Linked DNA regions of Oryzias latipes. The main gene of each other region encodes a partner of the protein of the gene in region 4 in a complex. Links are inferred from orthologs where the notes say so. Each region holds a gene or a part of one and is shown on either strand. Other genes may lie near its edges.

Region 1 (3,635 bases), on a different chromosome or scaffold from region 4:
AATCTGGCAAACAATTCAAAAACAACAAGAGAAAACATCTAGTTCAATTCAAACACTCATCACTGACCTGATTTTTGTCATATAACACACTTGCTTAACCCAGGGTTGATTTATATGCAGGGTAAAAAGTAGATCAGACATTACTGTATGTTGATGAAACAAATAAGCTCAAGGAAGAAGGGAGATCTAACCCCACATCCTTCTGTCCTGATTGGAGCACAAATGACACCGCTTCCCCTTTTGCTAAAGGTCTGGAAAAGTGACCTTGAAGCCAAGCTCAAGACTCTTCCCATAGTCATGGAGCCATGCCAAAAACAGGGTTGTGTAAGGAGAAGGAATATAGACGGGCAGATTTAGAGGAAAAAAGAAAAAACACAACACTTTTTATTAAAAAAAAAAAAAAAAGATGTGAAATAATTGATTATAAAGTGAGATTACATTTTTTTCTTGGAAAAGTTTTTCAATATTTTATTTTTTATTTTATGGTAGGTAAAAAATACAATTAAATGAAAAAGAAAATTAAAATATTAAGAAGAAAATTATGACAGGTGAGACGATTTAAACTTGGTTACCGTAAATCTTTTTAACCAAGAATAATGTAGGACCATAGTATACCATGAATTACAGTAATAGAACAAAACGTGAACCAAGACAGATAGTTAAAGTCCTGGCAACAGAGGATGTTTGATCCCGTCACACTGAAGCAGCACTGCTAATATTGGGGTTGGGGGCTTTTTTCACACGCCAATATTTACGTGCTGCTACAGCGTAGCAGGTATATTGAAAAAGGAAGGGTCCACCTCATCGCCATTAGTGGATCCACAAAAATAAAAAAATTAAAATAAAAAAAATATTAAAAATATAAAAAAACTCTGTTAAGCTAGCAAATAGTTTAGCAACTGACATTCAGGTTTATGTGGGAGAATTTCAATTTTTTGCATTTTTTCCTTAAAATTCTAAAGCAGCAAATAATGGTTCGCACTTTTTTCTGACTGTTTCAAACCATGATGCGCTGCTACAGCATTCTAAGGTCTTGCAGAGGGCAACCCCTCCCCAGTTCTTTTCTATGACACCACAGCATATTCCATGACATTTCCAGACATGGCCTACAGGTACATGAGAAACATTTAAGCAAAAAAGAACCTGAGAATTGCACTAAAAAAAATAAAAAAATAATAATAAAAAAAGATAAATGACAGAATGGCATGATTATTCAAAAAAAAATAAAGTTTTTTGGACTTGCAGGATAAGAGGAAAAAAGGAAAGAATACAAGAAAAACACTAAATAATTACCTGTAAAATCAGAAACCTGTTGTGGTCGAGGTCAATACCGTGACTTCGTAGTAATGCCCCCACTTCTTTAAATGTGGCTTTCTTGCCATTGATATGGTAGGCTGAGGAACCGTCTTTGTTGGCAGTCCTGGAAACGTAGAATTTGCTGTTGGGGATGACTTCGTAGTCATCTCCTTCCTGGCTCGGGGGGGGGGGAGGGGCAGAAGACACAGCAGCTTAGAACAGAACAGTTCAGGAGAGGCTGAAACAGCCCAACACGTCAAACTGTTCCAACACTGACAGATTCACTTATTAACAAGGCCTACATAGAAAAACACACACATAAAATATTGTTTATGAGAATGCACTACATCTATAAAGGCAAAGGATAAGATAAAACACTAAATGTGTATTGGAGTGTATTGCATCGTAAGCTTCCTAAACTTGTAACTACAAAAGATAAACGGATTGGGTAAAAATGTTTAGTTGAAAGAAGAAAAAAGGCTATTTATTTAAGGCCGTGTGCACATCGCTGAAAGAAAAAACCCTGTAGTTTTAAGGAATGATTGTAAATACAAAACTGACAGATTTCTCAGTTTGTGCCAATTTTAAGACAAATCAATGTTTATTAAAAAATACACAACATTTTAGCTTCAGCAGTGTGATCAAATTCACAGTCCCTATGGCTAATTTAATTTATAAAAAATTTTCTAATTGGGGGGAAAATGTAGCTCACAGTTGGTGGTTACAGCAGCCTGTTATTACATCCTACCTAAAGCAAACACTACTGCTTTTTTTTTTTTTTTGCCACCATGAAAAAAAGCAGAGGCAATAAATGCATTTGTTTATCTCTTTCCCTTCATTGCCATCAGATCAATTTTAGGGCAAAATGACTCAAATGTGGCACGTGTGGGAGTTCCAGTAACTTTCACAACTGATTTAAGTTTACACTTGGTCACTAGAAGAAGAATTGAGCAGCAATATTACTGCATTAGAAACGACAAAGAACAAATACATTTTAAAAATTCATTTTTGCCCAACTAAAATATTTCTGGTGATTTTTTTTTTGTTTGTTTGAACAACAAACTGATCATTTTAGTGAAGTTTGTATTTGTGTGTAAAAAAAAAAAGTGTTTATAAATATCTGTATACCTTATCAATGATCTTTTGAAAATGCACCTCCACAGTACAGCTTTGCACATCTTTGTGTTTATCAGAGCTGTGAATCAACACTGAAAGCTTTTTTGATCTTATCTTTTGAGCTCTGTATCCAAACACAAAGAGCATGGAGTCTATCACATTAGACTTGCCGCTTCCATTTGGACCAATGATGCAGGAAAAGCGCTGGGAAGAAATTAGGAGACAAAAATAAATAAATAAAAATGAATGCATCATCCATATGAAACATACAAGAGATTAAGATTCAACAACAGCTGTCAGTAACAGCGATGACACCACACACAAGTCTAATATAGATTTAAACACTTAAATTTAGCAATATGAAACTTGCATGGACATGAGGCGACTGAAAAAGATTTTTTTTAAAGAAAAAAACATTTAAAAAGTTTCATTAAATGTGATTACACCAGTAGATTTTCAGAAACTGAGAGAAACACTAAATCAAAATGGAGGAGTGTGACTTCTTCCTCTTTTTTTAAGGATTTTTCTCTCTAAACATTTTTACTAATAATCTTATTTTTTTATAGATTTCAATAAGACACATTTATTAGAAAGGTGACCTAAGATTTCAGACAAGAAAAAAAATAGTATCAAATGAATAAGACTTGGATAGTAACAGTTACACTAAATCAGTGACGTGCAGTCAGGAGAGGCAGGTGAGGCTGTGCCTCACCTGTCATGGGAAGAAAAGAGAAAAAATAAATTCAACTATTATATTTAATCAGTAATTTGTGCTTTGCAGTCATTTTCCATTTAAATGTACCAATTTTGGGTGTTTTTTCTTTTCAAAATCGCTGAATTTCCGCATTTGCCGTTCAGATACTAAGAAGTGACGTGCGATGAGGCACCAGCCCGCTGAGCCTCACCTTGGATTGCGCAATACCTATGCAGTCAGACGGTACTGCTGTCTCTCTGTATGTCGGTTCAATCACTTGTACTGTATGAGCTGAGTTTGCATAATTTAGCAGATGTATATGATGTACAGTGTTTGTTTTTATAAATAACTGTATGTGAGGGACGTGTTTCTTGTGCTGAGCGCTAAACGCCGGCGAAAAAGCCGCTGGGTGAGGCCAGAAGTTCCCGTGCCTCACGTTAGGGGGCGCCGGTGAGCCTTGAGATTATGACGCTAAAAAAATAATAGAATAAGTGATAGCAAGCGGCAAGTCATTTTCTTCCGAAAGAGC
Region 2 (3,635 bases), on a different chromosome or scaffold from region 4:
CATTCTCCTTCTTTCTGAAAACTAAGCAACAACTAAATGCACTAAATCTGCTCTTTCAAAAACCAACAGTTACTCTCTGGATAGAAATGGCTTTCTTGTTCCACCTCCCCTCCAGCAAAGAGTTTGGGTGTCACTCTCAACGACACATTCTCCTTTTACGCTCCCATCGATAGTCAGCACATTTTCACCTTTGCAATAACCCCTCCCTCCCTCCCTCCCTCCCTCCCTCCCTCCCTCCCTCCCTCCACATCCACAGCTTATTTCCTGTCTTCATTACTGGAACTCCCTTCTTTTCATTTTTCCCTAAACTTGCACTGCTCCCTCTTTTCTTCACATCACTCAAATTCTTCACCAACTCCACTGTTTCTCAGTAGATCAAAAGGGTTGAGAACAAAATCCTTCGACTTTGTTCATGTGTGTTTTGTTTTTTTAAGGACCTTGACTGACAAGTGCTTCAAATAAAATAAATGATTATCATTATTTCGTCCTAAAAACACGCATAAAGATGTATTTGACAGCATAATAAAGTAAAAATAAAAAACGCTTTTTACCAAGGAAGACATCAATGCACTTATAGTTGGACCAATTCGAGTCTTGATGTTCATCTGCTTCATCAGCTCAGCACACATCGTTAAACACCTCAGAAGAGTCTCTGGGTCATTCTAATAAAAGGACATAAAAAAAAGAACATCAGTTCCATGAAACCCAGCAATGACGCATCCTGGATCTCACCGGACCTTCTCGGTGCGGGGCTCCTTGTCAGTCGGCTGGCCGCCCTCGGCGATGTCCTGAAGGATTTGGTTTCTGCTCTCCTCGAGGCGTGTGATGGATTCCTTCAGCTCTGCCGCTCGGCTGAACTCCTGAGCAGCGATACAATCCTCCAGAGTTTGTTTAGCTTCCAAGATCTGGACCTTTACTTCTGCCAGCTGCATGGAGGAGGAGGAGGAAAGGAGAACGTTTGGATGCAGCTACAACAATTTCCAACAAACAGGAAGAAATCAGTTTAAAACATTCACACATTCTTTACTTTCTCTGTAGCACCTTTAATTTATGTGGGAGTGACTCCTAAACCAGAAACTTGATCTGTTTTTATTAAGGTAAAATAATAGCAGCAGGAACATAAAACATCACTTTTTGGCTGTTATTTGGACATTTATTAGGTAGTTTTCATATTACGGTTTCTCAATGTATTTACTGTCATTTTATTTTATTTTCAAATGCTCTTTTTTTGAATGGAACACCAAAAATTAATTGTTTAAAGGAGAGAAAACAAAGAAATGACTGATGAGGAGGAAATGCAGCAGATAAAAAACATGAAACATTTGAAGTTAGGAAATCCACATTTTTAAAGGTTTCTTTGGCAAATGTTAAAAGCCTTAATTTTTCTAGTGAAAAGACTTAGACATTTTATTCACTAAAGGCAGGGGAAAGGATGGCAAAATCCAGATCCTGCTGGAGTTTTTCATTCAAGCGTTGCCCACCTTAACCTGCTGCCGTCGGCTCTCATTCTCATCCACAGCCCGATTGGGCTCCATGATGGGTTCCCTCAAGTCCGAGATGATTTCTGCCACCTGCAAAAAGACAACAGCATCTAGTAGAAGTCAGCCTCAGTGTAAAGCAACACAGCAGAAGGGAACCTACAGTCTGGATGCGCCTGTGGTCATCAGGGATGAGGGAGAGGAGTTTTTCAGTAAGCAGGGAAATCAGGGAGGAGGGGGTCTGTGGAAGAGCCATCATGTCCTGCAGAACTGCCAGCACACGCTTTCTGCAAATATTAAAAACCATGACATGCACTAAAAATCTACACAATCCCATCTGACAATAAGCTTAAGGCCTGGATTTCAATCCACAACAGGAAGTCTTCAAACATAGATTGTACCAACTGTAACCAGATCAAAAACGTGCTTTGGTTGATCTCTAAGAATTCATTTCCATGTAGTATTTGTTGTTGTTTCTGTTTCTCTTAGGATCAGATTGTGAATCTATAAGGCTTAAACTTTTACATTTTTCCTTTTGTTGAATCCTCTCCATACAATAACAAACAAATAATGTTTTCCAGTAGTTTTCCTTGGATTCAAAGGATTTCATACCTGCCACCTTCCTCGTTCGTGTCGAGGCAGCGGATGAGGTGGATGAGTTGTTGAGAGATAAATTCTTTGGTCATGACCAGCTCCAGCTGGTTGAAGTCGCCTCTCTGCTCCTCTGTGAGCAACGGCACCGCCTTCAGATATCTGCGAGTTAAGTAAGGGTTAATGGCCGACGAAGTGTGCAGTGTCACTGTTTAACGCACGCCGTGGAATCAGCTGACAACCCATTTACATCAACGCAAAATGACATTAACATTTTCAAAAAAAAGAAACGTTAATACAGCTTTTAGGAAAAGTTGTGTTAACTACTTTATTGTCTACATACAATCTGTCAGTTTTCAGCAAACTGACCAATTCACTGAATGTAGGGAAAATCCAAACTCTGGAGTTGTGACATCTGTAATCCTGTCAAGCTTTACATTTATTTAAACTGTTTTACACTGAAAAGCTGAATATTTTATTCTTTTATGAGTGAATATATCATCCCAACTTGATTGTCTTTCCTCTTTGATTTTAAAAATCAGATTTTTTCTCTTTTTTTAAATGGCCGGAAGGAGCAGGCCTCACAAACAGCAGTTTGAGCCCTTTCATTCACCTGTTAGTTGTAAAAAAATGTGCTGTTTTTTTTTGGCTTCAAACTGGAATTGACCAACTGTTCTGTTTTACAGATTTTTGTTCAAGTTTTGCGTTTTTTTTCCAACTGTGTGTGTGTGTCCTTGCTTCTACTTCTGATTGCATGCTCTTTTGTTCTGGTTAGTAATATAATAAAGTTATATTTAAAAGTACAAGCACTTAAGTGGTGTAGTAGAGTAGTGTCCTAAGACTTAGGATTTCTTTGAGCCTCCTCCATTGCTGAATTCCACTGAGAAATCGGAACCCGCTCTCACATAAGTACAGAGAAATACATTAACAACTCGGCTTAGTTAAAAAATTAATTGTTGCAGAGTAAGTATTATGGGATTCTTCCATAAATTTCTTCCTAATCAATAATAAGACTGCACAAGCCGTTTACTAACTTTCAAAAGCAATTTAAAACCTTTGATGCTCTTACCCACAAAGGTACTCAGCATAAGCAGCAGCATCTGGCAACACTTGTTCCAGCATTTCTTCTCCATCATCTCCTTTGTCCTTGATGAACTCACACAGCGCTCTCCAGTAAAGCACATTTTCACAGGTCAAAGAGTCAATTGGGATCACCTTCCTGTTGAAAAAAGTAAAGCAACAGATTCTTTAACCCTCCAACATTTTTACGACATCTCTTCAAATAGTAGGAAAGCTAAAAGCGGACCTGTTGTCAAGCCCCTCCCTGTTCTGCAGCAGTTCTTCTGCAGGCATGCTTTTGAAGATGGCTTTCAGCGTGTCCATCGCCGCATCTGCACAGTTTTCCACATCCAGTCGGTGGAGCAGCTCGATGACATCACCGTCCAGGCGGAGCAGCCAGGCTGGCAGGAGGCGGCTGCAGACCACCTCTCTCACTGCCTCTGCACGGAAACGTAAATAACACATGTACTGTGAGAAAGAGATCATTCATTGGAAGTTTTATTACTT
Region 3 (3,626 bases), on a different chromosome or scaffold from region 4:
AATTCCAATTCTGTGAAAATGCCCTGCTCACTGGCAATAAATACTCCTTGAATCCTTTGAAGTAATCTTTTGTGTTTTTAAACAGAAAGTCTGAAGAGAGGTATGATGGGAAAACCACTTTTAAACAGTATATTTAACAAAACAAACAAAACTAATTACTTATGTGTTATATATTAATTGCATTACTATAAACATTTTGAGACACATTACACAATTTAGTGATAATCGGACAAAAGCACATTTCTACCATTATATTAGGATTAAATTAGGAAACCTAAAGTAAAAACACTGTTTATATCAAAGTTCCTGTGTGCAAGATTAAAAACTTCTACGCCAAGGACTGGAATGTGATTAGTCCTCTGCTCTTTCTTGTTCTGTATCTCCTTAATGAAAGGACGTCATGTCGTCTCACCCAGATGGAAGCACAGACCCAGACAAACCGGCTTAACCTCTACGGGAAGGCGACAGCAAAGTTGCAAACTCACACTATAAACAGGTTTAATGTGCCAGGATTTCACACGTTCTGCCCAAATTTAAGTCACAAACTCAACCACATTTATGGGAAAAAAAAACATTTTATTTCTTTTGACAATATATATCTTTTGAGCAGTGGTTGAAAAGTTCTTTTATCTACACAACAGATAATCATGAAATAGTACAGAGTTAAAAAAAAGGTCGTCTTGTCATTATGAGGGAAAAAAGGGCAGATTTAAAACTTAAGCACAAAGTGAATAAAACCTGACATTTTAAATAGAAAAAGCATAAATTCAAAGAAAGAAGAGGACAGAATTTAAAAAAATCTCCTGGTTTTCTCCTTAGCGGCCTTGTCTGATGATAATGTCTGACATGTCATCAACTTTGACCAGCTCCAAATTCTGTAAAACAGACAATTCAAAACTGTTAAAAGGTGTTAAAGCTTCAGACGTTTGTCTACAGAAAATAACTTGGGTTATGTTGTTATAACCTTTTATAAAAGTAGAATTCCTAAAGCTGAAAGTTGCTCTTGATAATAAATTAATGTCAAATATAATGTTAAATTAAAGTCATTTTAAAGACAAACAGGATTCATTTAAAAGGCTCTTAAGTTGAAACATTTTAAAGTCGAGTAGGAGTAATGACACGTCTGTCACTATCTTTATAAGCAAAGTGATCCCACAAACTGATAACACTGAGTGAGTGACCGAAGAGTGCACATGTTTATCTTGAGCTGTTTCAAATGTTCTTTTATTTTCATGGTTTTATGTTTGTGTGTGTATCAATGCCTCTGGGTCACGTCTCTCTCTAAAAATGTTTTATCTCAAGGGACTTCCTGGTAAAATAAAGGTTAAATAAAAAGAAACCAAACTGATAAGATATTTTCAGAACCTCAAATACAGTACAACTCATTTACTTCCATTTGATTTTAAATGAATTAACTCATGAACCAATATTATTTTGGTTTTTTTGACAACCAAAAATAGAGTCGGGTCGTCAGTCCTGCTGTTCATTGGTAAATGATAAACACTTTTTTTCCCATTAATCTAGGAACTGATTACATGATGACATCAGTATATGTAATAGATATACGTTACAGATGTGCGTGTCAATTAGCCATTTCAAACTTTCACACACTGTCAAAAGACGGAAAAAACTAGATCACATGCTAAGCAACTAGAAATTATGTTCCCCTTTTAAGTAAAAAAACAACACAGAAAAGTGTGAAACACTTCTTTTAGCTCCATCATATGCTTAATATTTGTTTATTTTTGGTGGGATTATGTAAATTTGCTTCTTCCCACTTCATTTCAAGCTATTCATCAAACTCTATCTGACAATCATTATATTGAATTGATTGTACTGTACATAAAAATGCAAGTTTGTCTATTTATGATTAGGAGTTATTGTAATGCCAAGAGGGTTGCAATGTTTTCTTTTATTTTCTAATAAATAGTTGCACCTTTTCATTTGCCAGATGAAGCAGAGCCACAAAGGCCAGCGGCACCGACAGGTTCTGAGCCATAACGTTCGGCAACCTAAGGGGTACAAGAAGGAGGGGGGAGAAGGAGGAGGAGCACATTTCAAATCAAACTCTTCAAGGTTCTGTCAGCATCAGTCTATAAAGGAAGATAATGTCTCACAAGAATACGAAAAAAAAAAGTGTTGGAGGAGCCAAAACTTTTTGGTAAAACCCACGCATGGATTCCAAACCAGCAATGTTAGTAGAATGTGAGGCTTTCTAAAGCTTTTGATGATTGTTGCTATAAGTGCCAGAGTTGTGTTGGTACCTTTGAAGCAGCATCTTTGTGGTCTGACTGAAGGCTTTCTCCCCACACACATCCTGAGTCTCAACAGTCTCCTTCACCTGCAGAAAGACAAAAACCAGATGAACACAGCTGCCCTCTCTAGACCGTCCTCAAGCACCAACGCCAGACACCTAAACATTCATCAACATGATACAATACAGACAAAAAAGAAAGAAACAAAGTAAAAGCACCTGTACCTTTTCTTCTGGACTATCTGTTAAAAGAGTCCACATGCTGTTCTTAAGCTTCTTCATATCCATTTTCTTTGCTGTCTTGGCATAATTGATTTCAATTTTGTTGACCTGCAAACACAAGCAGTAGAGTAAAAATCAATTCCATACAAAGTTCAGCCTTTTTGGAAAAGGCCTCAATCATGCTTTTTAAGCATTTCTGAGTGAACTATATCCATATATGTAATAATAAATTACATTTTGGCACACTACAGAACAAATTTTGTATTAAATATTTGTTATTTTCATCAGTTCTTTTTCGCTTGGGTGCCGCTCACTTCATGACATCAACCTAGAGTCGGCCTCGGCTGCATCTCGCCAATAAAAACAAACAACATTTGAACTATTGCAAAGATACATGTGCTTATAAAAGGAAAGCGCTTTTGATGATCACCGCTCGGTTTGTGGAGAAAGTGGGTGTGCGTGTTAGCCTGGGGGTGGCGCTGGCAGGGTAGACTTTTCCTGGAAGGGGCTGTTCCTCACTTATCTACGCCACAATGAACCCGCTTATTTTCACGGGTTGGGAGGGGCTGGTGCTCAGAAATGCGTGAATGGATCCGAATACCGCTTTGGGGTTGTTTATAGTGAGGAATTAACATGATAATACACTTAAAAGCTCAAAAGGTTGATTTTACATGATGCAGGCCCTTTCATGATCGAGATTCACAGGCTTCAGGTTTACTGCCAGGTAAATGAATACGTGTCAAACAAACAAAACAAACTAAATCCATTATGTGTTCTTGAAAAAGAAAAAAAAACCCTGCATGACTCACTCTGTGAGGCTCAGGTACCAGTTCATCCTCCCCGTAGGTGGACACACCCTCCAGGTCTTGTGAGGGTGGAGCTTCACTACCACCTGACGGCTGGATGTCATCGGAACCAGTAAACCCCTCAACATCGTCGTCATCACTGTCACCCCCCTGAAGCAGAGGACAGACCAGGAGATGACAGAAGGAAACGCAAAGATAAAAGCTTTGTTTGCTTTACTGTTTTATCAAAAATGTTCCCCATAAATGGCTTTAGTGAGTAAGGTTGGCACGCAGTAACTGAACGGAACAAAGTCATGTCTGGTCAGCTCTCCCACTCTTGGTGATGTGGCAGCAGTTTCGTAACC
Region 4 (3,635 bases):
TGGGCTGATTTAAGGCAGAAAGACATGCGATTACTATGTAGACATATGTACATTACATGAGTTTAAAGCTGAGAGAGCACTGTGTTTACTTTATCATCATGTACTGAGACAGCGCCAGACACGCAGCAGTGGTGAGCTGAGGGTGAGAATAGCGCCCTGGAGAGCTACACACTTTCACCAGCAAAGGTAGAAAAGCACTTAGCAGGTTCTCCTCTGAACCGATTGAAAAGGGAAAAAAGAAAAACAAATGTTGGTTTCTGTTTATTGTATGAAGGATTTCAACTATTATGAAATACTTGGATATGTACTGGAAAATTAAAAATCGATTTTCTTTACCTGAAAGTAATTCTGTTTCACAGATTCTTCTGATGAGTTCAGCTTCTGTATCTTCAGCAGAGGCTCCAATCAGGCCAAGCTCTTCCTCCATTGCACTTTCATTGGCTGCCTGCTGCTATAAATGATGTCAAATGAAAACAATGAAAGACCTTCAAGCAAGACAGCATCCATCATAGCAATGTTTTGATTTGACGTTTGAGATGAAACAAACTAGAGAACTTCTAATTATTTGAGTGAGTAAAAGCTGCATAAAGGGACATATTGTGTAACTTAAATGCATGAAAAAGGAAGAATATTTGTTTAAAAGTATGTATTTCAAGAAGGTAGAAAGATGTGTTTTAGCAGTCATTTGCATCCTTAGCTGTTACCTAGACAGTTGGAGGCTATTACCTAGATTAAATTAGGCTCCCTAAAGTTCTGTTAATAGAAGACGGTAAAGAAACAAAGCTGCAGAACAGTGTCAGAACAAAAGTTGTAGAAAAACAAATACTGGTAGTTTGATTTTTTTTTTATTACAAAGGAGAAACTTAACAGGTGAGCCAGCTTTAATTCTATCAAAGACATGAGAACATTTCCAAAGTGCAAAAGTTGAAAAACACCTTAGCTTTGCTGGATGGCCCTTTCTCCTTCTCCTCCCTCTCCTCCGTCTCTCCTCTCCTCCTCCGGAGCTCCGCACTCACACTGCGCTCCAGGTGAGACACCTGCCAGAAAGCCACGCATCCACACAGGGCCAGCAGCTGAGCCAGACACACGCAGTTCACTAAAGGAATTGGAAACAAGTTACATTTACAGTGTCAACTCTAGACCATGAAAATGTCTTCTTTAAAAGAAAAAAAGGGTCTACCTTGCTCATTGGTTTCCTGAGAACCATTTGGCATTTGGTCGACATCCTTGCAGACTTCCCCACCTTCAGAAATCTGATCCAATAAGAGCCGGGCGCTTCGCTGGAGGAGCCGAGAGCACAGCTGTTCTGGGGATTCAGCTAGGAAGAAGATGAGACGGACAGCCTGCTCCATGAAGCTCTGCCAGAAAGGGTCTTCCATTACCACACCTGAGGGAAAAAGACAGGAAAAAATGAAGACAATGAATAATGAGATTTTCTTAAAGCGTTTCTTTTTCTGGTTTACCTTCTGCAATGGCCTGTGTCAGGCAGGTGAACAACTGGTGGTCCTGAGGCAGTCTGAACGGAGCTCCCTTTGACTGCTAATGAGGAGAAAATGGTTTTTTCTGACCTTTTGACTGCTTTGATCGCTGTTGACATGGTCAACCAAACAAAAGGCATTCAAAAAGTTTCAATGAATTGATTTGTTTTGTTCAACAAAATGTACATGTTTTGAATGCTATGAAACTTAAAACATATACAGTTAAAGATGCAGATTTTTGATAGGACACTAAGTATTAGTGCAATGTTAAATTAATCTCTTGTGAACCATTGTGGAATCCTCCCAAAACTAGAAACGGAAAACATTTAGGCGCCTTGAGGAGGAAAATATTCATGGACAGAGTTTCTTTCACCTGGGCAGAAATCGTCAGGTCAGATGTTTCGAGGGAACTTTTGTTTCTTACCCTGACGTGGTCAGTGATGCTGCAGATGGTGATAACTGTGTCTCTAGCTAGCAGAAAGTCTTGTGTAGCTTTTTCTCCCACAGCCACTGAACAGAGAGTATCCAGGTTACTGAGCACCACTTCTCTTTCTGCCCTGTTAAAAAAACAAATAAAACAATGTTTGTTTTTTTTAAATCAAACTGAAGTATAAATATTGTATAATCTCAATTGATTATGCCGTAATGCAAAGTGAGGCAACAGCAACAGTAACCTAAATGACCCTGGATGCTCTGTGCTGGTCTAATCAGTACTAGGAGGCTGCCCAGATAATGCATGTGGGAAGATGGGTGAGTAAAGCACAGAAGGTTTAATAGGTTACGAATGCTGCTGGTGCTGGATGGGAAGCAGCAGTGTGGGAGGACTGCAGAGACACTCTTTACTCTCTCACTTGCCTATTCACTCCCTCTTCCCTAAAGCAATAGTCTTTGAGAGATAGTGAGAGAAAGAGCCAGCATGCATAAATACACACACACACACACGTAAAGAAAAGGAGCTTAGTTATATGGTCGTGACTACAGTTACAAAGAGAAGCACAGGCGGGGAACTTGTTTTCAGACTAAGAACCATTTGCTAAATATCAAGCAGCTGAAGATGATGAAAATGTAAAAAGGAAGTGCTGCTTGAGCTGGCTGAAATTACATTCAATGCAGATGACATCTTTTTGTGCCCTACTGTGCTAGTTGATGTCAAAGATAACATTAAAATGAAATAGAACAAATCTGTGTTTGGATAAAATGAAGGTCAGCTGCTGCAAGACGGAACAGGTGAAGAAGGTGAAGGACTTTCACAAATGAGGGTCCAGGGGACAGCCGAAAGGCAAAGAAAAATGTGATCTATATATTCAAATGACTTATTTGAATCTGTTTAAAGACTATTGTAAATAATAAAGAGTTTTTAGTGTCTTACCGTGCTGCCATGCCCAGCAGCAACACAGCAGCTCGCTTGTGTAAGGCAGAAGTTTCTCGTTTACCGGTAAATCTCTCCCACAAGACCTGAACCACGGTGGACTGGAGGTTACTGCCACTGGCAAAAAACTCCTGCACCTACAACACATGATTGCATGTTAACCAACACAGCCTATTCAAACCAAAATAATACTAAAACCTCTTAGTTTTAGCATCATTCTTTAAAGCAGCGCTTCTCAATTAGTGGGGCGCGCCCATACGATGCCGGGGGGGGGGGGCGTAGTAGCGGTTTTAGCCACAAGTAATATGGGCAATTGCCTGCAAATTTAACGGGGGTGGGGGCGCGGTGGTGACAGCAGCTGAGTGCTTGGGAAAAAATTTGCGCCACTCATGGTTTCCTATCATCTGATATATGGCAGAGTTTGTAACAGCCTGGAACTGTGAACTGCCGTCCCTGCAGCTGCTCCTGTCACACGCTGCACGCGTGTGAGAGAATGAAAGGGGAGGGGTAGTGGGCTCAGGCTGAGAGGTGGAACAGCGCACGCGGGCAGCTTTATTGCACCAGGATCATCGTGTGCCTGTAGATGACTCAGCTCATCATTTAGAAAAAAGAAGGAAAAAAAAAAAATCAGCACAATGTTTTTACCCATTTCTTCAGACTAAAAATGTTAAATATATTGGTGCTGTATTAATGTTTCACACCAATTTACATTTAATATTTTCATTGATTGCCAGTATAGCTTAGTCAGTTTGTTAGTTCATTTTAGTATTTTCCTATTGAACTCTTTG
Region 5 (3,286 bases), on a different chromosome or scaffold from region 4:
AGTTAAAATAAATTCAGTGTTTCCATCCTGCTGAAGCTTCCTCTAACAACATAGTCAGATTGAAAACTAAATCGATAAAACGTCAGACTTCACAGATGGAAAAGATTAATGTAACTCTACATGTAGCAAACATGACCAAAATCATCACAATGTCATTGGCTCAAACAAACAATCTATGTAGATGACGATTTTTTGTTTTTGGCTCAAATTCAAAGTCTTAGAGCATCTGAAAGGTTTCTCTCCGCTCCAAAACCTCTTTTAAAACATGCCGAAAGACTGTAGAACACTGCTGTTTTGTCTGTTTACTATTTATGCCTCCTAATTTATGTGATGATTCTATTTTCTTTCCTCTGAAAAAGGCCATTTTTAAAGTTGCATAATTATTTTCTAAGGTTTGAATTTGTGATTTTGAATCTTTGAACTGAATTTTTTGAAGTAAAAGTTTTTTTGGTATGTTTTGTATCTCCACAGAAATCATCGCTTTCTGGATCTATTCAAGCTGATTTGGTTTAGCTCGACTTTCTCAACAAACATCCTCTCCTTTCTTAAAAATCATGAGGATTTAGTGCTGCTATTGCAAATCTCTGCCGGGAAAGCTTTTAGGAGACTGTTGCCTTCCCAGCCGACACTCCTACCTTGTTCTGGGTCACGGTGCAGGCCATGCTGTCTATTTGTTCCTGAAAGGCCTTCATGGCCTCGTCGACGGCCTGAATCTGCTGCTCGTAGGTGGCCTGCTCCCTCCGGAGCTCCTCCAGCTCCAAGGCCACAGCTTCAGACTCCTGGAGACGAGAATAAACAAACCCAATGATTAGAAATATTAAATCAAATATTACAAAGGTTTAGCTATCTTAAAATAATTCTGGGAACCACTCATTTCTGCATATTTTCATTAAAACAAACAGTTTACCTGCTGCTTCTGCTTTAAAGTCTTGTTGAAGGCGTCTGCTTTTGCTTTTGCTTTGTTGAGTTTCTCCTGGGCAGCCTTCAACTCCTTCTCCCTCTCAGCCTCGGCATTCTTCATTTTGTTTTCCAGCACCTTGTACTTCTCCTCGGCTCGCTTCTGCAGCTCCTTGGTGAGGCGCAAAGTGGCCTCACTCTCGTCTGGGGAAGCAAACGTCACAAAAGGTCTTAAAATAACTGCAGATGAAACCTCCCGCTTTCCCTCCCTCTATTAAACTGAAGTTAAAGTCCAGACCGATGGCTTTCTGCAGCCTCTCCAGCTCCTCCTGCTGCTGATGGAAGGAGCTCTGCTGCAGCTTGGTCTGCAGGATCTGCTCCTCCTCCACCTTCAGCTCGTGCTGCTGCTTCAGCTGCCGATACCTGCAGAAAGGGAAAAGTGAAATGAAAAACGTCATTTGGAATAAATTAACCAAAGAAATCCTTTCTAAACTACGACAGAGTTGTAAACTGGCCCTAAACAGCTGGGCCTTATACGTTTTTTAAAAGCAGGCTTCCTCAGACAACTTAAAAAATAAATTAAAAAAACACGGTTATCTTCTTTGATTTGACTTTTGTCTCATAAAAATATCCTTCACTACAAGATCAAACAAAACATCTCTATAACTTCTGATTTTTAACTGCAGGCCAAACAAGAAATGTAAAATAGACTTAATAGATTTTTTTTAACACTTGTCACCAGTAGCTTGTTTTAAAGAAACACAATGAATTAAAAAATATATAATCAAGCTGAATTGAATGTTTTATTGATTAAGAGGATCTAATTTTCCATGGTGCATAATAGGGATGCCACCATTCTCGGTTTCAAACCAAACTGTTTGCTCCACATTTAAACCGCATTGTGGGGAAGGGGATTTGTTCCATCGCTACTGCGTGTTTACATTGAAAGTGTCAAACAGTTGTGCTAAATTTAAGAAGGATTTACTATTTATTGTCTTATTACATTACTCCAGGCTTAGTATTAGCCAACTGATATATATATATATATTTTTTTTTTGCTTATTAGCAAATTTAAAATGATTTTTTCAAAAATGTTGTTTGTCTCTTTGTAGTACAAAAGTCATATTTCGAACCGTGACCCAAAAATTGAGGTTTGAACTGAATCGAGGGGAAAGTGAATCACTGCATCCCACTTAAAAGAAGGGGTTTCACAACAGAAAGTACCGCTAGTTTTAGTAAATATATAGGAGTTTTTTTAATGTGTAGAGGAACTTTTCTGCTTTTTCATTTGCATACTTCTCAGCGGTTCCCTTCAGACTGGACATCTGTCGCTCAGTATCCTGAAGTTTGGCCTCCTTATCGCTCAGGCTGTCCTGAACATCTTTTACTTCCTGCAGGCTCGACAAAATCGATGCCGACTGCGAGCGAGCGCCTGGAAAGAAAAAAAGAGGAGCCAAGTATTGAAACTGATTTGATTTTCCAAGGAAACAGGAGTCGAGCGTTGATCTCACCTCCACTCAAAGTTCCCTGCGGGTCAAAGATGTCTCCCCCAAGCGTAACAGTCTTGGTCATCACCTGTTTGTCAAACGCCACTTTCTTTGCGTTGTCCAAAGTGTCACAGACCAGCGTGGAGCCGAACACATACTCCATGGCTTTACGAAGGTCAGACTCGTATCCCACCAGGGACAGAGCTGTGTGAACGTTGTCCTCCCCGACCTCACAGAACAAAGACAAAATCACGGAAAATTACCTACGAGAAAACCTAATGAATGAGATGTGATTCCTTTTATACACAAGAAAAAGTCGGAGACTATGAAAGCACAGAGTTTTCTCACCAGGCGCTTCGCGGTGTGGATCACTTTGTCGTTGAGAGTTTTGGCAGATATCTTGTTGAGAGGAATGATGGTGTACCTGCGCTGTAGCTCTCCTTTCTCCAGCAGCTTCTTACCAGTCACCTAAGAAGGAAGGATTCAATCATTTAGTCACAAAGATTCTGTTTATTCACCTGTGAAATAAATTTAAAAAAAAAACTTTCAAAAGGTCTACCTCTGTGTCTACAACAATGTTGTAGAGCCGTCCACCTGCAACTACCTCCAGTGCCGTGGCATAGGAAACATCACTGACACTTATGAGATTAGCTAGAAGGCCCTTCACTTTGCTTCGGTCCCAGCCTCTCTCCGGATCTCTGGGAGACAGCAGAATTTATTACAACAGAAAAGAAGAAAAATGCAAACTGAAGAAAAGAAAAATGACTCAAATAAAACATCGTCAAGAGGAAGAAAAAAAACTCAATTCATGGTGGACAAGATAAGAAATTAAAGTTCTATTTCTTAATCAAATCTTTAGATTAGATAGTTCATAGAGATGAAAGAAACAGCAGAATCAATCA

Evidence for each region.
Region 1: ncapd2 (region 4) and smc4 share a complex: the UniProt entries of both Homo sapiens proteins name them as parts of the condensin complex. The link is inferred for Oryzias latipes from reciprocal best matches to the Homo sapiens genes NCAPD2 and SMC4.
Region 2: ncapd2 (region 4) and ncapg share a complex: the UniProt entries of both Homo sapiens proteins name them as parts of the condensin complex. The link is inferred for Oryzias latipes from reciprocal best matches to the Homo sapiens genes NCAPD2 and NCAPG.
Region 3: ncapd2 (region 4) and ncaph share a complex: the UniProt entries of both Homo sapiens proteins name them as parts of the condensin complex. The link is inferred for Oryzias latipes from reciprocal best matches to the Homo sapiens genes NCAPD2 and NCAPH.
Region 5: ncapd2 (region 4) and smc2 share a complex: the UniProt entries of both Homo sapiens proteins name them as parts of the condensin complex. The link is inferred for Oryzias latipes from reciprocal best matches to the Homo sapiens genes NCAPD2 and SMC2.

The regions. Positions count from the first base shown.
Region 1 is NC_019871.2:13,494,282-13,497,916, reverse strand, and holds part of smc4 (structural maintenance of chromosomes protein 4), read right to left. Parts: intron 2,617-3,635; coding exon 2,425-2,616; intron 1,471-2,424; coding exon 1,294-1,470; intron 787-1,293; exon of another isoform or gene 684-786; intron 1-683. UniProt on the Homo sapiens protein: Central component of the condensin complex, a complex required for conversion of interphase chromatin into mitotic-like condense chromosomes.
Region 2 is NC_019859.2:13,397,540-13,401,174, forward strand, and holds part of ncapg (condensin complex subunit 3), read right to left. Parts: intron 3,569-3,635; coding exon 3,376-3,568; intron 3,289-3,375; coding exon 3,139-3,288; intron 2,232-3,138; coding exon 2,091-2,231; intron 1,766-2,090; coding exon 1,642-1,765; intron 1,572-1,641; coding exon 1,482-1,571; intron 927-1,481; coding exon 738-926; intron 663-737; coding exon 552-662; intron 1-551. UniProt on the Homo sapiens protein: Regulatory subunit of the condensin complex, a complex required for conversion of interphase chromatin into mitotic-like condense chromosomes.
Region 3 is NC_019867.2:25,810,949-25,814,574, forward strand, and holds the end of ncaph (condensin complex subunit 2), read right to left. Parts: intron 3,433-3,626; coding exon 3,286-3,432; intron 2,585-3,285; coding exon 2,480-2,584; intron 2,342-2,479; coding exon 2,265-2,341; intron 2,013-2,264; coding exon 1,937-2,012; intron 876-1,936; coding exon 816-875; 3' UTR 556-815; downstream 1-555. UniProt on the Homo sapiens protein: Regulatory subunit of the condensin complex, a complex required for conversion of interphase chromatin into mitotic-like condense chromosomes.
Region 4 is NC_019874.2:20,234,056-20,237,690, reverse strand, and holds part of ncapd2 (condensin complex subunit 1), read right to left. Parts: intron 2,985-3,635; coding exon 2,848-2,984; intron 2,036-2,847; coding exon 1,903-2,035; intron 1,540-1,902; coding exon 1,464-1,539; intron 1,388-1,463; coding exon 1,181-1,387; intron 1,097-1,180; coding exon 936-1,096; intron 452-935; coding exon 337-451; intron 214-336; coding exon 90-213; intron 5-89; coding exon 1-4. UniProt on the Homo sapiens protein: Regulatory subunit of the condensin complex, a complex required for conversion of interphase chromatin into mitotic-like condense chromosomes.
Region 5 is NC_019859.2:11,209,176-11,212,461, reverse strand, and holds part of smc2 (structural maintenance of chromosomes protein 2), read right to left. Parts: intron 3,083-3,286; coding exon 2,944-3,082; intron 2,853-2,943; coding exon 2,733-2,852; intron 2,614-2,732; coding exon 2,409-2,613; intron 2,330-2,408; coding exon 2,194-2,329; intron 1,321-2,193; coding exon 1,196-1,320; intron 1,102-1,195; coding exon 908-1,101; intron 780-907; coding exon 636-779; intron 1-635. UniProt on the Homo sapiens protein: Central component of the condensin complex, a complex required for conversion of interphase chromatin into mitotic-like condense chromosomes.